Macaca mulatta: one gene and its partners. The protein of the gene in region 4 purifies or fractionates together with the protein of the main gene of each other region. This does not show direct contact. Links are inferred from orthologs where the notes say so. Each region holds a gene or a part of one and is shown on either strand. Other genes may lie near its edges. The genes, in order: EIF3H, EIF4G3, EIF4G1 and EIF4A2.

Region 1 (4,167 bases), on a different chromosome or scaffold from region 4:
TTGGAGTCACTAGTAAGCTTCTGATTTTTTATCCGATTTCCAAGGTGCTTTGGTAATCAAAAAGGGTCTTTTTGGTGGTAGATATGAGCATTTTCACCACTGAAAAGGTATGTCTTCCACAGTAAATGAGTAAATCAACATTTACATGTATATAAACCAATCTCCTGTGAGAAGGATTAATCGGTTCCTTAGCATTAATCAATTCTGAGAGAGCTGATAAAAAAAAAAAAAAGCAATTTGTGAAACCACAAAATTGAGAACCAGTTTCTTAACCTTCCTAAGCCCACTGCCTATTTGTGAAACTTGAAGTGATCCAGTCCATCTCCACCTGCAGAGGTCTCTTTTTAATTCAACAATCCCTCTTAAAGCTGCCAGGACATTGTTATGGAAGTGCTTTTATCACTGCCCTATGTTAGACAGTATTTGGCGCTTAAAAGAATGTCCTAAAATATTTGCTGAATAAATGACCTCCAAATAGATTTATGCCACCGACCTGTTGCCTTTTTCAACTCTGGAAACTAAGTGATTCAAAGAGTACTGTTGTGACATAGCAAATTTAATAAGAAATATGTTTCTAAGAAATAAACATTTCCCAAGTGTATAAGTGGTATTTATTTTATTCTTTTTATTTTTTTATTTTTTTGGTTTTTGAGACGGAGTCTCACTCTGTCACCCAGGCTGGAGTGCAGTGGCGCGATCTCGGCTCACTACAAGCTCCGCCTCCCGGGTTCACGCCATTATCCTGCCTCAGCCTCCCAAGTAGCTGGGACTACGGGCGCCCGCCACCACGCCCGGCTAATTTTTTGTACTTTTAGTAGAGAAGGGGTTTCACCGTGTTAGCCAGGATAGTTTCCATCGCCTGACCTCGCAATCCACCCGCCTTGGCTTCCCAAAGTGCTGGGATTACAGGCGTGAGCCACCGCACCCGGCCAAGTGGCACTTATTTTAACAAGTGTAATCTAAGTTCACCCACTAACTTTAGAGATTTGCAGTCTCTAAAGACACGTCATTTATTCCTGAACACACATCTGCCTCCCATGAGCCAGGGAAAGCCAGAGTGCCAGTACACAGACCAAACAGTACGCCATTTTCTTTTCTGTTTTTTGTTTTTGTTTTTGTTTTTTGAGACGCAGTCTCGCTCTATTGCCCTGGCTGGAGTGCAGTGGCACAATCTCGGCTCACTGCAACCTCCGCCTCCCAGGTTCAAGTGATTCTCTTGCCTCAGCCTCCTGAGTAGCTGGGATAACAGGCGCTCGCCAGCATGCCCGGCTAATTTTTGTATTTTTAGTAGAGACGGGGTTTCACCATGTTGGTCAGGCTGGTCTCGAACTCCTGACCTCGTGATCCACCCGCCTCGGCCTCCCAAAGTGCTGGGATTACAGCCCTGAGCCACCGCGCCCGGTCTGCATTTTCAAAGTATTACACAAGTGGCATTTAGAACAAAACATTCCAAAGTTAATCTCTTGCCTGCATCTTTCAAACTCTGCTAACCACAGACATTAAACTCATAATAGTAACCATAACTAACATTAAATGATTACATTGTACTACAGGTCACCACATAATTTTTTTCATTTAATCCAAACAACTCTATGATATAGATACTTATCATTCCCACTTGACAGATGAGGAAAGCAAAGCTTGGAAAGGCTAACTTGCCTAAAGTCACAGAGCTGGTTAAAGTGGAAGAGCCTAGAAGACTGAATGAGCTCTTAATCACCAGGCTACACTTTGGTATCCAGTTTAACTAAGTCAGTTCAACTGATTCAGTTATACGCTGGGTTTAAATTATCAATAGTTTCCACTTAAAAATACCCCCTTGCAATTACAATTTTCACATGAATTTAAAAGTACTTCCTTATTACAAATATCTAAGATCTGCATTAATAGGAAATAACCTTTAAAAAACAATCAAAAGAAGAGAGGATGCTTTTTAAAAAGAGAGGCAGGAAGGATGCTTTTAAAACTAGAACGTCGTACAAATGCATTTTGCTTCGAAACAACAGAAATAAAATTTCTCATTCTAGATTTTCCTTTTGCCAGCTAAGTCCATTTCCTTATCCAGAATTTCCTTGGATGTCCTAGTTCACGAACCTTAACTACTAAACACATCTAAGGCCCTTCTCTTTGATATTCTTTTGTTTTTCAGAATGAACACTACAAAAGAGTCTATTTTAAATTATGCGGTTTCAGATAAAGCGCCGAAGTACAGGCTCAAAAGAGGGGCTACAAGGTACACCTCCACTTGGGAAGTTATAGATGTCAGATCCCAGCAGGAAAGCAGTGGAGTTTCCTTACTCTCTCCTTCCCAGAGCCCTACTAGGTCCCTAAATCCTACTCGACACCTTTGTTAGCTGCTTGTCTCCAGGAGTCTTTCTCCAAATCCCCCCACCGGGCATCTCGAAACAAGACCCCAGGAACCTGTCACTCACACCCCTATTCTCAGTCCCCTTCCTGAAGCCCCAACTGCCCCGTTAGAAGACAAAAGAAGGTTCTCGCCTCTCCTGAACAAAAAGTGAAGATGAAAGAGAAAAGTACTAGGGAAAAACTTTGGCCCAGCCACACCAAGCCCGGGGGAGAGAATGCTGAAAAGTACGGCTGGTGGGACGGGGTTGGGAACTGCGCTCCCCACGTGGGCCAGAGGAAACGGAACAGCACTCACGAGGCCATCTATCTGCACTTGCTTCACGGCTGAATCTCCGGAGCCGCCTTTGCCTTTACCTTTCCCTGCTCCGCCGGTGGTGGAGCTGGAAGAGGTGGCAGTAGAGCCGGTGCCTTCCTTGCGGGACGCCATCTTTCCAGGCTGACAGGAAGAAAGAGAAACGTGAGTTACCGGAAGCGGAAGTACAAGTCTCGCGTGACGTCACTCGCAGGCCGGCGTTCGAGGGGCGGAGATGGAAGGAGAAGCCAAAATTGGGCCCCGCCTCCCTCCTCTTCTCTAGTTTTACCTTATTTCCAGGCGTTATCCTTTGTGCATGCCTACTGTACATTTTCGACCTCTTTCCAATGGAATGATCTAAGATGAAAATAAACTTTTTAAATGTTTAATCATTCACCATTAGGCAAACGGTCATAATAGCATTACAGTTCACATTATTTCTGTAGTGTCTCTTATGTAAAAATGCTTTCATTTCTGATCTCGCAATGAAGTGCTGTACTAACTCGCATTATGCATATTAGAAAACTGAGGAGTGTTTTGTCCGACATTATTCTGTTAATTAGCGGTGAGCCAGTATTGGTCAACTTGTTTTATGTAATTTTAGATAGCTACTTGTAACCACTTAGATTATACAGAAATTAAGACATGGAAACTTTTATCAGAATTACCAGAAATAGTAGCCTTCTGCTATTAGTTTCATGTAGAGATTTACATGAGTAAAGTACCAAAGAAGTTATTTTAGGTATTGTTGAAGGATGATACAGAACATATTTTCTAAAAATCATGCTGATTTATGACACATTACTCTGAAATACACATCTCAAGTCCTTAAAAGAATATGTGACAACTGTAAGAAGCCATTTTAGATAAGTAATTTAAAACATTCTTTTCTACTTCCAGATGACTTTTTTCCTATCCCTTATTTTTGAAATGTTTATTCATTCAATCAGTATATATACAGAACTGATGAAATAGTTAAATCAGTAAACGACATATCCTGCCCTGAAGTTTTTTGTTGTTTTATCATTGGGATCTGGTGTTATATTTCAATCTGGGAGAAGAAATAATTACATGTTACAAATTCTTAACACTACAAAATGAAAAGTTAATATCCACTCATTTCGAGTGTATATGAAATATTTATCAAAATAGACTACATCCTAGGTCACAGAGAAAGTCCACAAATTTAGAGGTGCTAAAGGTTGATCCACATAGAACTACACTAGAATTTGGTAATAGAACATTAACAAAAAGAAAAAAAAGAAGAAAGAAAATCTCTCATGGAAGAACAGACTGGAGGTTTTTGCCTACCACTAGGTAGCTGGAATGATGAGCATTAGAAAACAGCTAGGCTACTTATGAACAATAACACATTTATTTATTGCTTTATCCTACAACATAGGATCCAGAGTTCATTAAAAAAAAAAAAAATACCCAAATGTCCAAGTTTCAATTAAAAATCTTTCATCTCCTCAAGAACCAGGATGTACATGCACTAGAAGATTTCA
Region 2 (4,278 bases), on a different chromosome or scaffold from region 4:
CGGCGGCAGCGGCGGCGGCGGCAGCGGCGGCGGCGGCGGCGGCCCCCCCTCCTCACCCGAACATCAGGGCCCTCCAGACCCAGGCGCCCCAACAGTATCCTTTTCACCTTCCTGTCGGCCCTTCGGTTCTCGTCATCGCAGCCCAGGGGACCCTCCTGTCGGCCGCCACAGCCCAGCCTGGAAAGGGGCAGCGGCTCAAGCCCCTGCATCGGGCTTGGCCGGAGCTTTTGGGGTGCCCCGGCAGCCGCACTGCGGGGGGACCCCGAGACCCTCAGCAATACTGTGAAAGCTAGCTCCACTTGGCCATGCTTCTGCAGCCCCTTTTAGAGCTTGGGGACCCTTCTCCCCTAAGGTGCCTTCCCCCTCTTTATTGGGCAGAATTTGCTTGGTGTCTGAGACCAACCCTGCAGGGAGGGCTTTTCTCTGGTGGTTGTGAGGATTACACCCTTCTACTCACCTCCCCTCGGCTCCCCCTACAGCGGGACACGATGGGCTTCCCTAATTATTATTAGTACATAATAAACTTTATCGGTAAATTTCTTGTTTGAAACTAATCAGCTCGTTTCCGAGGTAAGTTGGATTTTCAGTCTAAGGTGAAAATGTACAGAAAGCAGTTCCTCTGGATAGTTTTTTTTAGTAATGGGAGAGTTGTGATGTGGTTTGTGGTAGATCGAGATCTAAGGAGGAAATGTGACGCCGGACGCTTCCCTGTCTTTGACCTTTTTAAAGGAAGAGGAAGTTCACTGACATTACCCATCACTCACAAAAGTCTCACTTCTTGGAAGATTTGCGTTAGGCTGAATATTTTTAATGGGCTTTGATTTACTCTTCATAGGCCTGATGATGTCTAGAGAGTTACCAGGGCTTCTGGAGGAAAGTCTAGTATTGAATGTTTCTAATTTCATGTTATTTGCTCGATTGTAGAATTTTGGACAGCTTTGATTGAAAAGACTTGGTGATGGGGTATTTTAGTCAAAAACTAACCGGTGAAGGTAAAACGTTGAATTTATGAATTCCACGGAGATTTAGAAAGGTATTGCGTACCTGAGAATAACATTTCATCATGCATCACCTCCTCCCTGCACCCACTGTATTTGTGTAAATCAATAATGATTGGATGTTAGATGTGTTGTTGTATTTGTGTCATCGTGTATTTGACTTTTAGAGATTGTAGGATGTTTGAGCAAGTAAGAAGCTAACTGCTGTGAGGTCCCCAGATTATTTCACAGTCTGTAGTTTGATTCTTGTCTGTATAGATTACTTTGAGAAGGGAAAGCAGTCTCCCTTCTAGAGTCATTTCAGGTCATTGTTTTCTGCCAAGTGTCATTTTCTCTGTTCTTTAAATCTAGTTCATGTTTTTCAATCCAGGCACCATGGTGCAGTGTAAAGATAAATTCCTTTCCAGTGTGACGTGTGTACTGATTTCATAATGTTTTTATCCTGCGTGATTGTGTTCAATTAGGAATTGTTCAGCGATGAGAAGGTGTAGTGATAACTTAGCGTTGCTTGTGGAAAACCTGGTTAGTTTTGGTCAGTGTCTCCGGGGTTGGGGAAGGTTGGCTGGTTTGCCGACTTCAAGGCAGAGTTCAGTGTTGGATCTCTTAAACCTGTCTTTGCGTACTACTTTGTGAGTTTAAATTCCTTTCTAATTTCATGTTTTGCCTTGATTGCCTATACTTGGTTAGGACTTTTAAGTTTCTGAATTGTGCCACTAAGTAAATTACTCATTACCTGCATCTTTGAGTTGTTTTGGTAATTAAACAGAAATGAAAGGAAACCCATAGTGGGTGTCCTTGATGTACAGAGTAGTAAGGACCGCAGTCCTGAATGTGACACTGCTTGGTGAATTTGGTGGCTTTTTAGGACACAAAGAGCTGTGTTTCAAGTATGCTTTTTCTCAGTGCATTTCATCGAAGAACTTATAAAAGCTCTGAGTTGGTTGCAACATTCAAGTAGTTAAAAACTGAAACTTAATTTTCTTTTGAATAAAAAGCAGCTGTTAAAGAGATAAATTTAAGTGTAATTTCCAGTGTAAATAATTTTAAACCAATTTTAGTTGAATGGAATACTTACTTTTATGTGGCTTTAAGTTTTTACTTTGCCTCATGCCATTGAAGCTAAAATTAATCTTCCTCTTGACGTGTTTCACAGCTCTTATTATTTTCTGTTTGCTTTTACACACTGAAAGGTTACAATTGCTAAAAATAGAACATTTTATTGTATGAACAGTAAATGAAGTATAGGTTATAGATTTCATCAGAACATACCAGTGGTGAAGTGTTATCAACTGGTAATGGGGTATTGATTAAAAAAGGATTGAAATAGAGCAGTTCTGCTTTTCTATCCCGAGGGAGTATGGGCATTTGTATTTGACGCAAGTGGTCACTGTTCAATAAGTTGATAACATTTAAGCATCTTGGCAGGAGTGCATAGCTGGAGTTGCACTTTTCATGGCTTGAATAGATTTCCAGACCCTCAAAGTATGTGAGTATAGTTGTGTTTGCATTGAATTAATAAGTTCAGACAGTTTTATTTATTCATTTTTTGAGACAGAGTCTCGCTGTGTCGCCCAGGCTGGAGTGCAGTGGTGTGATCTCGGCTCACTGCAACCTATGCCTGCTGGGTTCAAGGGATTCTCATGCCTCAGCCTCCTGAGTAGCTGGGATTACAGCTGTGTGCCACCACGTCCAGGAAATTTTTTGTAGGGTGTGATCAGCGTCCCAAACTGCTGGAGTTACAGGCGTGAGCCACTGCACCTGGCCAGACGGTATTTTAAATTTGTAAAAATGCTAGAAAGATTTGCATGGCACTATGTCCTTCATTTATACTTAGTGTTCAAGTGACAAATCAGAAATGAGGAGAAGTGTTAACATTAACGGATTTGAATGTAAACCGAAACGCTTAAAAGTAGGAATCAGTATTGCATGGCAGGGCCCATAAGGCCATTTCAAGTAGTGGCCTTTGGCTTAAAAGCAGCAGATGTTGGGGGCCTGGCAGAGGGCAGGCCAGGATGGCAGAGGCTGGAAAAAGAAAAACTCTGATATGAAAAGTGCTAAAGGAATGGCGAAATAGGCTTAGGGTTTTCATAACATAATCCAGCATGAAGTTTATAGGTTATGAAATTAGCTCTTTAAAATATTTGCCTTGAGATACGCTCACCCTCACTTTCCCGTATGAGGTTCCAAGAGGCTCTGTGGAGAATCTTAACAGTGATTCTTAACCTTTTCTGGGTAACAAACAACTTTGACATTTTGATGAAAGCTATAGGGACCCTTTCCACAGAAAACTGTGCATACACAGAAACTGTTGCTTACATTTTTTTGGGGGGGCAGTTCTTGGCCCCCCTCTTAAAAGCCTAGCCCTTTAGATTGAAATTGCTCACCCTTCAGATAATTCAAGATAAATGAGTTTGAATTTAGGTATCCAAGTAGTTCTGACTTAAAAAGTACAACTTTGCAGTCTGTTATGAATACACAATGTTCTCTCTATATGGAAAGACTTCAGGGTGTAATTTCTCTCAGGGTTGCTGACACTTCTGGGGAGTCTAGTTACTGTTTTGGGGCAGCCAATATAGTTAAGAAAATCAAGCGGTGGGTTCTTACTAGGAGCTAAATTTGGGAAAGACCTGCATCAGCCGGAAAATACCTCATGTTCTTAGCTAGTTTGTCATACATATATGACATATATATTAAAAACCACTATTCCTGTAATATTTTGGTATTAGAGTTTTCCTTTTTAATTTCTGTATTGATATTCAGTTTTATCTTACAGGCTGAAGCCAATAACATTTTCTGTCTTCTTTTTTGCCTGTCTACCAAAGCTAAATCTGAATAATTAATAATAGTATTTATTTATTGAGTTCCTACTATCCTGGGAGCCAGACATGCATGATTTTATTTAATTCCCAGGAGAACTTTAATAAGGTAGTCGGTATTGTCCGTATTTTATAGGTGAGGAAACTGAAGTGCAGAGAAGTAATGTTTCCAGGGTTCTCCTAGTAAGTGGTGGTCTGTGATTCAGACTGGTATGACTGACTCCAAAGCCCATGAATGCCTTTTTTACTATGCTTGGCTGTTTCTCCCCAAGCCTGTATGTGGGAATGGGAGGAAGAATACTCTCCTCTATTTGAGAGCCAGGGGAAGGTCCGTATACAGAAATGAGGTTCTGTGGAGTAATCTAGAACACAGTGATACTGTACTTTGTTTTAATTAGTTAATAGTCACATACTGCTAGACAATTAGGTTATCTTTAACTTATTGAGCCTTAAGACATAGGCCT
Region 3 (3,560 bases), about 85 Mb from region 4:
GTCTCTACTAAAAATGCAAAAAAATTAGCCAGGTATGGTGGCACATGCCTGTAATCCCAGCTACTTGGGAGGCTGAGGCAGGAGAATCGCTTGAACTCGGGAGGTGGAGGCTAGCCAAGATCACGCCACTGCACTCCAGCCTCGGTGACAGAGCGAGACTCTGTCTCAAAAAGGAAAAAAAAAAGTTCTGAGCCAGAGAAATCCCCAAGACACCACTATTTCCATTCCAAATTCTACAGTTGAGTAGAATCTGGGTGAGGGAAGGAGCTAAGTGGGGAGTGGAATCGGTAGTGGGTTTTCTCTCACCGTAGCAGCTTCATCCATCTCTTTTTGCTTCTTCTCAAAAACCTCATCATCATCTTTGTCTTTCTCAAACTCCTTCTGACATCGATTCAACAACAGCTTTCGGAAGTTTACAGTCACTGTTGGCTTTTCCGTAGTGGGCACTTTCAGCTGCAGGTCGGAGAGAATGTCACACTCAGACTAGTACTGGGCAGGGAAGGCCCTCCAAGAGCCTTTAACTACCTGACCCAGGAAGATATCTGGCCCCAGCTGTGCCTCCTTCCAGCTGGAAGAGGTGCAAGTTGGAGGAGAACCAAGAAGCTGGACTCAAGGAGTCTTGGGAATAGAAATGGGCAACTAGACCATAAGATTTAGAACCCAGTGGAAACTAACCGCCATGAGGCAGCGGCACATGTTGGCATAGGCCACAGAGAAGTTGGGCTCTGAAATGGCCTTCTCAAAAATGAGGTCAATGACCCCTTTGAGGCGTTCCTCGGTGTCAATGGCCAGCTGCGTCACTTGCTTCATCAGCTGCTGGAACATCTGGGGTGTCAGCTTATTCAGGATGGAGCGCACCCTGCGGAATAGGTCCTGGAGGAAGAGGAGACAAGAGTTCCAGTGAGGGTCTCAGAACAGGCTGTTCAGAGGGACAGGAGAGAGTGGTGGGGACTTAGGCATGACAGATGCTACTGATAAGGACAAAAAGCAGCAAAGAGGGCACTGACAGCAGACATGGAAAAGAAATGGAGAGAGACCAAAAGCAGGACTCGCCAGTACCTGGGTTTTGCTGCCATCAGCATCCTCTTCCCCTCGGTCCTTATCAGCTGCCGTCCGCTTGCTGCTGGGTTTCCAGGCTTTCTCTGCTTTGTTCAGTTTTATATCTTCGGTCATTAACACTGTGGCAATGATCTTGCGTGGTTCTTTTCGGGTGCCCTGCTGAGAGCGCCGGGGTCCCAGGCCAGCCTGCTAAGCAAGAGATGAAGACAAGAGGGGACGTGGAACTAGTCAGCACAATATGTGATACCACTACTACACGCCTCCAGGGCAAAACCCTCCCCGTCAGCACTGAGACACAGGGGAATCATCCACTCCCACTCCTTACCCACCTGCCCCTTTACCCAGCCCCACTCACCGGCCCTCGGGGCAGCTCCCCACCTGGCCCACCCCTTGGGGGCCCACGGGTGCTAAGGGCTGGCCGGCCAAGGTTGGCAAAGGATGGAGTGAAGTCTGGGCCATAATTTATGCCTTGTAGTCTAGTGGGGTCCAGTGGTCGCAGTGGTGTTTTATTGGCCTGCAAAGAGGACAGGAAAAGGTCTTAGAAGCAGGCTAGAGCAGTTGACTACTCTTTCAGGACCTCAGGCTCCTCCCCAATCCATCCAGCACAAACTTATCGTCCCCTCCCTGACTCAAGCCACTAACCTTGTCCAGCACCACATCACTGATATGGGGCAATCCCTCTGGCTTCTGCATACTGGCAAAGATGAACTGAAAACCAAGCAGGAACTCACGGTCGTAACGTTTTTTCTCCTCTAGATTTAGAGGCTTCCACTGATCTGCGAGGAAGAGAATGAAGCAATCATACTGTCTTCTCTGGCCCTAATAAGAAAACTCAAGTCATTCTCAACCCTTTCTTCAGCATACCTGACTTATATTCATACTTCTGTTCCCCGGGCTGGATGTTCTCAGCATTGTGAATTTTGTCTTCCTTTGAGTCCCAGGTCTCATCTGCTTCCTCAGGACGTGGGGGCACACCACTGCCCTCAGACTCTGGGCCTGGATTGCTGCCTGCAGGAGGCTGATTTTCCACCTCTGGTACTGCCGGGTTTGCCTAGAACAACAGAACACCAGTTTTGGTTGCACAATGACCACTGTTCCATACCTCAACTTGGCCCTCTCCCCTTCCGTTTTCTGCTCCCTTACCTCCTTGAAGGCATCCAGAAGGTCTCCAACAGCCTCCTTCTTATTTAGCTCCTTAATTTTCCGTCTCCTCTTTGGCACAGATACTGCCACTAATTTTAAAAAATAAATAAAAGCATGGGTCTTTGCCAATAATTTAAGGAGTACCCTTAATCCCTGGGAAATAAAAAGCAGCCAAAGTACATATTTCCCCTTTGCATCACAGTCTTCAGGCTTAAAAGTCCTTAATCTAGTTCTTAGATTCCATTGCAGGGCCTCTATGACCCAGAAACATGGCAAAAACGGGAGGTCATCAAGGAGGGCAAGGAACCACATCCCCTAGCCCACCCTACCTCTACTGCCCAACCAATCCTTACCTTGAGTGGCCGCTGCTGCCTCCAAATTCTGAGACAAGTTGGCTGGAACAGGGGTGCTCTCTGAGGGGAGCAGTTCCTCTCCTCCCTTCTCACTCTCAGCTTCTCCTGCTTCTCCTTCTTCCTCTTCTTCTTCTTCTTCTTCCATTTCCTCCTCCTGAGCGGGGGAAGTAGCTGAAGGAGCCATAGCTGGAGTGGCAGAGAGGATGGTGGCGGGCGCCACTGATGCTGTCACCTCCTTGGCCTGCTCCTCTGGCTCACTGACTGGGCTTAAGTCCACAGCTGGTGGCGAGGGGGCTCCGTTGAGCAGTTCCTCAGGTTGGGCAGTTGGAGCAATGGGCACAGGGGATTCGGAGGGGCAAGCTGGTGGAAGAGCAAGCTCTGGGCTGGACTCCACCTCTGGTTCCAGATCTTCAGATGGGACCATGCCATTAGGCTCATGAATTTCCACTGTGTGAGATGCCAGAGGAGTGGAAGCCTGGAGAGGACTGGAAGAGAATTCAGATTCTGGAACCGGTTTGCTAAGTGTCACTTCTACTTCCAGTATGGGTTCGGCGAGAGGAGTGGGTTCTGGAGAGAGGCGATATGGCTCCCCAGTTTCACGGGAGATGGGGGTTGATTCTTCTACAGACATTTGTATAGTTGCCATAGTGTCCCCAGGAATAGAGAGGACTGCGAGATTAGGCTCAGACCCCGGTTCCAAGACTGGGGATGGTGATGGGGTCGGAGAAGGTGACGAAGGCTGGGATTCTGAAGGGCTGTGCTCTGGGCCAGGCAGCCCTGGCCGGTCAGCAATGATTGCTCCCTGTGACCGGTCATCTGCACCATAGGAAGGAAGAATGAGCAACTAAAGGCAAGTGCTTCACTGCTGTTGTTCCTCCCCATCCTCCAGCCAAGGTATTTCCAACTTAACACTCCCACGTCATCATCTCCCACCTAAGCTATACTTCCACTTTCATCCAAAACCCAATTCACCCTCAAAATCCCACGACCTGAAATCTAAGTCAT
Region 4 (4,288 bases):
ACAGAATGGAGTTAGACAAAGATAGTTATGCATCAAGTGCTTTAAGCAGGGGGAACGACAATAAAACACGTCAGTTGTATTGTAACAGTACCTGCATTAAACCCCATCTGTACCTTTAAGAGGGGAGTGAAGTAATGCTTACCTGAATACTTGTATTTAGTTTTTGGAAAATCTCATAGATTTGATCCTTAAACCCACGGCTCAACATTTCATCTGCTTCATCCAAAACAAACATTTTGATCCATTTTGGAGCTGTTAGAAACAAAGTCATACTGTCACTTCTAGATCTACTCAGTAATATGACTTTTCAACTGTAACAATAAAAAAAAAAAAAAAAAAAAAAAACTCTTTTAAAGACAATACTTACAAAGATATCTTCTGTTTAACATATCAAAAACTCTCCCAGGTGTACCAACAACAATATGTGGTGCTTCGGCCTGCAGTTTTTGCATTTCATTTCGAACATTTGTTCCACCAATGCAGGCATGACAAGTTGCTCCCATATAGTCTCCAAGTGCCAGAATTACCTTTTGGATCTAAAAACCAAGCCTTAATTATTATCCTGAAGAACTCCAGGATCAATGACTACTTTTTAAAGCATAATGGCAAATTTAAACTGGTCTGCCAACAGCTTTTATGCATGCACAGCACGAAACTACTTCCAAGCTTAAAACGCAGACTGACCTAACTGCTTCAAGGTAAAACTCCCTTAATGTCTTTCTTCTGCCTTGTCAAACTTGGGATGCTGCTGCCCCACGCATCAGCTAGACAATTCAAGAATAACATTTCCTACATTATTCTTCACTGTGTGTAGGGAGTACATAGTGAAATATATGTTCTGTAATTACAGCTAGGGCAAATAATTTTTTTCCCCCAGAGGGTATTGTGCTTTATATAATCTTGACCTCAATAAAGCCTCCAGCTTTATTAGGAAGGTTTACTTCAAAGCCAACATAGCAGTGAGCTTTGAAAACATAGCATGCAACAGATGCATCACAAACTACGGAGACAGTCAAATGGTAACATGTCACTGCAGTTTTCATGTTGCACAACTGCATTCAAACTTAAAAAATGGGGACAGATCTAGTACATCCAAGAGTGTTTCGGATTCTCAATCTGTTAGTATACAACCCTACAAACCATACCTGCATACCCAGTTCTTTTAAAGCTTTCAACAAAAACTCCCTGCATGCATGGACAATTAAAAGGAAGGATCTGGTAGGACCAATTTATACTAAGTTTTAAATTCTTCACAGTTGTGAAACCTGAAACCTATGCAACACGCAAGCAGTTTTTTTGAACTACACTATCAATACCTGTTGAGCCAGTTCTCTGGTGGGGGCCAATACTAGTGCTTGGGTCTCCTTGAACTCAATCTCCAACTGTTGCAGGATGGAAATAGCAAATGTGGCTGTCTTGCCAGTACCTGACTGAGCTTGAGCAATCACATCATACCCTAAAAAAAGTAGGATACATATTTACCGATCCCACACCAAATTGTCACTTCTACTTTACACCATGTATTCCATTTGGAACATGAATTATGCCCAAATAATAAGTGATCAGCAATGAGTATTCTCTTCATTTCAGGTCAGTCCCGAAAGATGATTGCCATCATTTCACTTTAAGGAATACAAACAGGTGCTAGTCCCCCAGAGGTTACTTTCCCTTTTACGGTCCATGACTATGTAGAATAAAGTCATTTCCTAAAAATTTCAGTTTCTTTTACCTTTAATACAGGGAATAATAGCTCTCTGCTGAATAGCGGAAGGCTTCTCAAAACCGTAAGCATAGATGCCACGAAGAAGAGACTCCTTTAAATTCATATCATCAAAGTTATCAACAATCTCATTCCAGTTGCTCTGTAAGTTAGAAAAAATAATGCACGCATGAGTGAGATGAACACATTCACCTTTTCAAAGCTTCAACATCCACAACCGTTTCTTACCTCGATGACACCATCGGGGTCCATTCCCTCTGGGCCGCCATGTTCTCTGCTGACAAGAATACTGCAGTCAGACATCCCTTCCAAGCCACCTTAACTGCATCTTAAAGGGATAGCCCTTTGCAACCCGTCTCAGCACATTAGCCTCCCCTGCACAAGTTAAAGCAGCAGCTGCAGGACGAATATCACACTGCGCGCCTTCCCTAAAGGTCGGGGGCCGCGGATGTCCGGAAAGGCAGCCCCCCAGGCCCCAGCGCATGGGGATCCCGTTTCGGCGGCGGAGCGTCTCGCGAGAGCTCGGGGCGACGAGCTCCGCCCCCAACAATGCGCAAGCCGGGTGATTGACGCGGGCGGAGCGGCCTGGCGAGAGCGATGCCAACGGTTCGCCGGCACCCGTGCCGGTCCGGTCCCATCGCCTCCGCGCCGTGGCCGAGTGGAGACCGCTGCCTCCAACCCTTCCCCAACTGAAGCCAAGGACCCCCAACTCCTGTGGTTGACCAAAAATAAAGCTTCGGGTCCTGGTTACACTGTACCGAACGCGGACTGCGCCACGGCTGTTTACTGCATGTTTCCCGTGCTCTACACTGGGAGGGGAAGCAGCCAAAATTCCGTAATGTCTTAGGGAGGAGAAACGCCCTTTAGCCACTGCTTTCGCACCATCGTCCTGTCTCCCCACAATCCGGGCCCTACCCATCATGGAAGCTTCTGGAAGGGCACAGGGGTGCTGTACCCTAAGGAAACGTGCACTAAGTTGGAGTTTTTGCCTCCATGCCATCCACTATAATCTCTCCTGGCGCCCTACGACCTTCACTACAGACCGCGACCGCCAACAGAGCGCCATACCTGTTATAATCCGCGGAGCCACCAGACATGATCCGAAAAACCACTCAGCGCCCGACTGAAAAGACAGCAGAGCCCCGCCACCCGTTTTTTATAGGCTCGTGGCCGGAACCCGTTTCTTGCGGAGGAATTTTCTCGCCGTGCTTCGGTCAGCCACAAAATTGTGATCCTGGGGTCGTTACGTCGGATAAAATCCTAAGCAAGACGGTTGGAAAATCCAAATGTGGTAATTTCTCGATATTATAGGGTCGCTGGAAATCCTAGGGCCCGGGGTTGGGTTGGGATTCTTTACCTCGCGGCGGAAGAATATCGCTGCGGCGTTAGTCAAACACCACTTTCCCCGCCCGCCCTGCTCCTACGGGGTTTCCGCGTCCCTGACGCAGAGGCGGGCCGGGGGAGTGGAGCTGGAGCCGGAGCCGGAGGCGGAAGCCGGAGACGCTGCCCGCTGGGCGTCTGGGTCTTCCCGCGTGCGAGGGGTCCCGACTCGCGGCTCGCTGCCGGCGCTCAGGTGCGGGAGGGGAACTCGGTTATTCCACTTGCTCCCACCGCTGTTTAATTTGACAGTGAAGACCTGCCTGGCATTTAGCCCGACCATTAACATCCATTCAGATCTTGGAAACGTAAAATTCCTGCTAGGGAAAATGTCGGCCACCCAGCGAGTCCCGGAAAGTTTGGTTTACCGGTACATTTTGCAGCGAGAAAAAAAAAATGGAGTGTCATTTGCAGATGTCTCTGGAGTAGCCAATTCTATTCTCATATCGTTTCCGGTCTCTCGCTTTCTTTTTAAAAGAGTGTTAATGATTTTAACCTAACAGGTGTGAGGAATGCCTGAAAAAAATCATAAACTTTTGCAAATGGATAGAAGCTAAGGAGCAGTAATTTTCCGTGGAACGCACGAATTTAAATGGACGCTTTGGCAGATACAGCTCTGTGCCGCTTTGGGACTACATCGGTGTTGATTCCGTCTATATTGGTCATTTTTTAAGGGCTTTGAGCTTTACCGATATATAGTGAAATGTTGATTTATTGAAATTCAGAGCAATAATATCCTTGCTGCGTAAACTGCACGAGTCTTTAAGCTCCAGATGTTTTCAATTAGCCCCATCTCAGGTCCCTTCACAGCAACAAAAAAACAATATATGTAGTCATTTAACTTTAAAATACAACCCTACCCATGGTGCAAAATATCATCGAGAATATCTGGAAACATTTTATCATATTTCAGAAGGCCAACTTAAAGAATCATTACTGGGAAAGCTGACTCAATTTTCTGTATTATTGAAGATACTTGGTTCTAAATACTATTTTAATACGAAAATTATTTATTCATTTGAAAATTCTTATCGTGCCAGGAATTGGGACAAAGATGAAGAATACCAAAATGGCAAAGTGGGCCTGGCCCTCAGTCTATTGGTACTGCTCCTCATTCATTCCTCTGTAATGTTCGAAAGCCATATTTGAGGTGATGCCAGACATTTTCTGAGAATGATGTTTGTCAGAGAT

The links.
Region 1: the proteins of EIF4A2 (region 4) and EIF3H purify together in Homo sapiens (affinity purification with mass spectrometry; 3 studies listed by BioGRID and IntAct, with this or other methods). This does not show direct contact. The link is inferred for Macaca mulatta from reciprocal best matches to the Homo sapiens genes EIF4A2 and EIF3H.
Region 2: the proteins of EIF4A2 (region 4) and EIF4G3 purify together in Homo sapiens (affinity purification with mass spectrometry; 3 studies listed by BioGRID and IntAct, with this or other methods). This does not show direct contact. The link is inferred for Macaca mulatta from reciprocal best matches to the Homo sapiens genes EIF4A2 and EIF4G3.
Region 3: the proteins of EIF4A2 (region 4) and EIF4G1 purify together in Homo sapiens (affinity purification with mass spectrometry; 6 studies listed by BioGRID and IntAct, with this or other methods). This does not show direct contact. The link is inferred for Macaca mulatta from reciprocal best matches to the Homo sapiens genes EIF4A2 and EIF4G1.

The regions. Positions count from the first base shown.
Region 1 is NC_133413.1:127,140,357-127,144,523, forward strand, and holds the start of EIF3H (eukaryotic translation initiation factor 3 subunit H), read right to left. Parts: upstream 2,812-4,167; 5' UTR 2,795-2,811; coding exon 2,663-2,794; intron 1-2,662.
Region 2 is NC_133406.1:219,772,898-219,777,175, forward strand, and holds the start of EIF4G3 (eukaryotic translation initiation factor 4 gamma 3), read left to right. Parts: upstream 1-1,472; 5' UTR 1,473-1,475; coding exon 1,476-1,627; intron 1,628-4,278. UniProt on the Homo sapiens protein: Component of the protein complex eIF4F, which is involved in the recognition of the mRNA cap, ATP-dependent unwinding of 5'-terminal secondary structure and recruitment of mRNA to the ribosome. Functional homolog of EIF4G1.
Region 3 is NC_133407.1:96,460,824-96,464,383, reverse strand, and holds part of EIF4G1 (eukaryotic translation initiation factor 4 gamma 1), read right to left. Parts: intron 3,372-3,560; coding exon 2,556-3,371; intron 2,501-2,555; exon of another isoform or gene 2,422-2,500; intron 2,292-2,421; coding exon 2,203-2,291; intron 2,111-2,202; coding exon 1,924-2,110; intron 1,836-1,923; coding exon 1,702-1,835; intron 1,574-1,701; coding exon 1,415-1,573; intron 1,249-1,414; coding exon 1,060-1,248; intron 874-1,059; coding exon 676-873; intron 454-675; coding exon 307-453; intron 1-306.
Region 4 is NC_133407.1:11,828,699-11,832,986, forward strand, and holds the start of EIF4A2 (eukaryotic initiation factor 4A-II), read right to left. Parts: upstream 2,839-4,288; 5' UTR 2,818-2,838; coding exon 2,789-2,817; intron 1,998-2,788; coding exon of another isoform or gene 1,995-1,997; coding exon 1,949-1,994; intron 1,863-1,948; coding exon 1,730-1,862; intron 1,626-1,729; exon of another isoform or gene 1,557-1,625; intron 1,457-1,556; coding exon 1,317-1,456; intron 537-1,316; coding exon 368-536; intron 253-367; coding exon 143-252; intron 98-142; exon of another isoform or gene 1-97. UniProt on the Homo sapiens protein: ATP-dependent RNA helicase which is a subunit of the eIF4F complex involved in cap recognition and is required for mRNA binding to ribosome.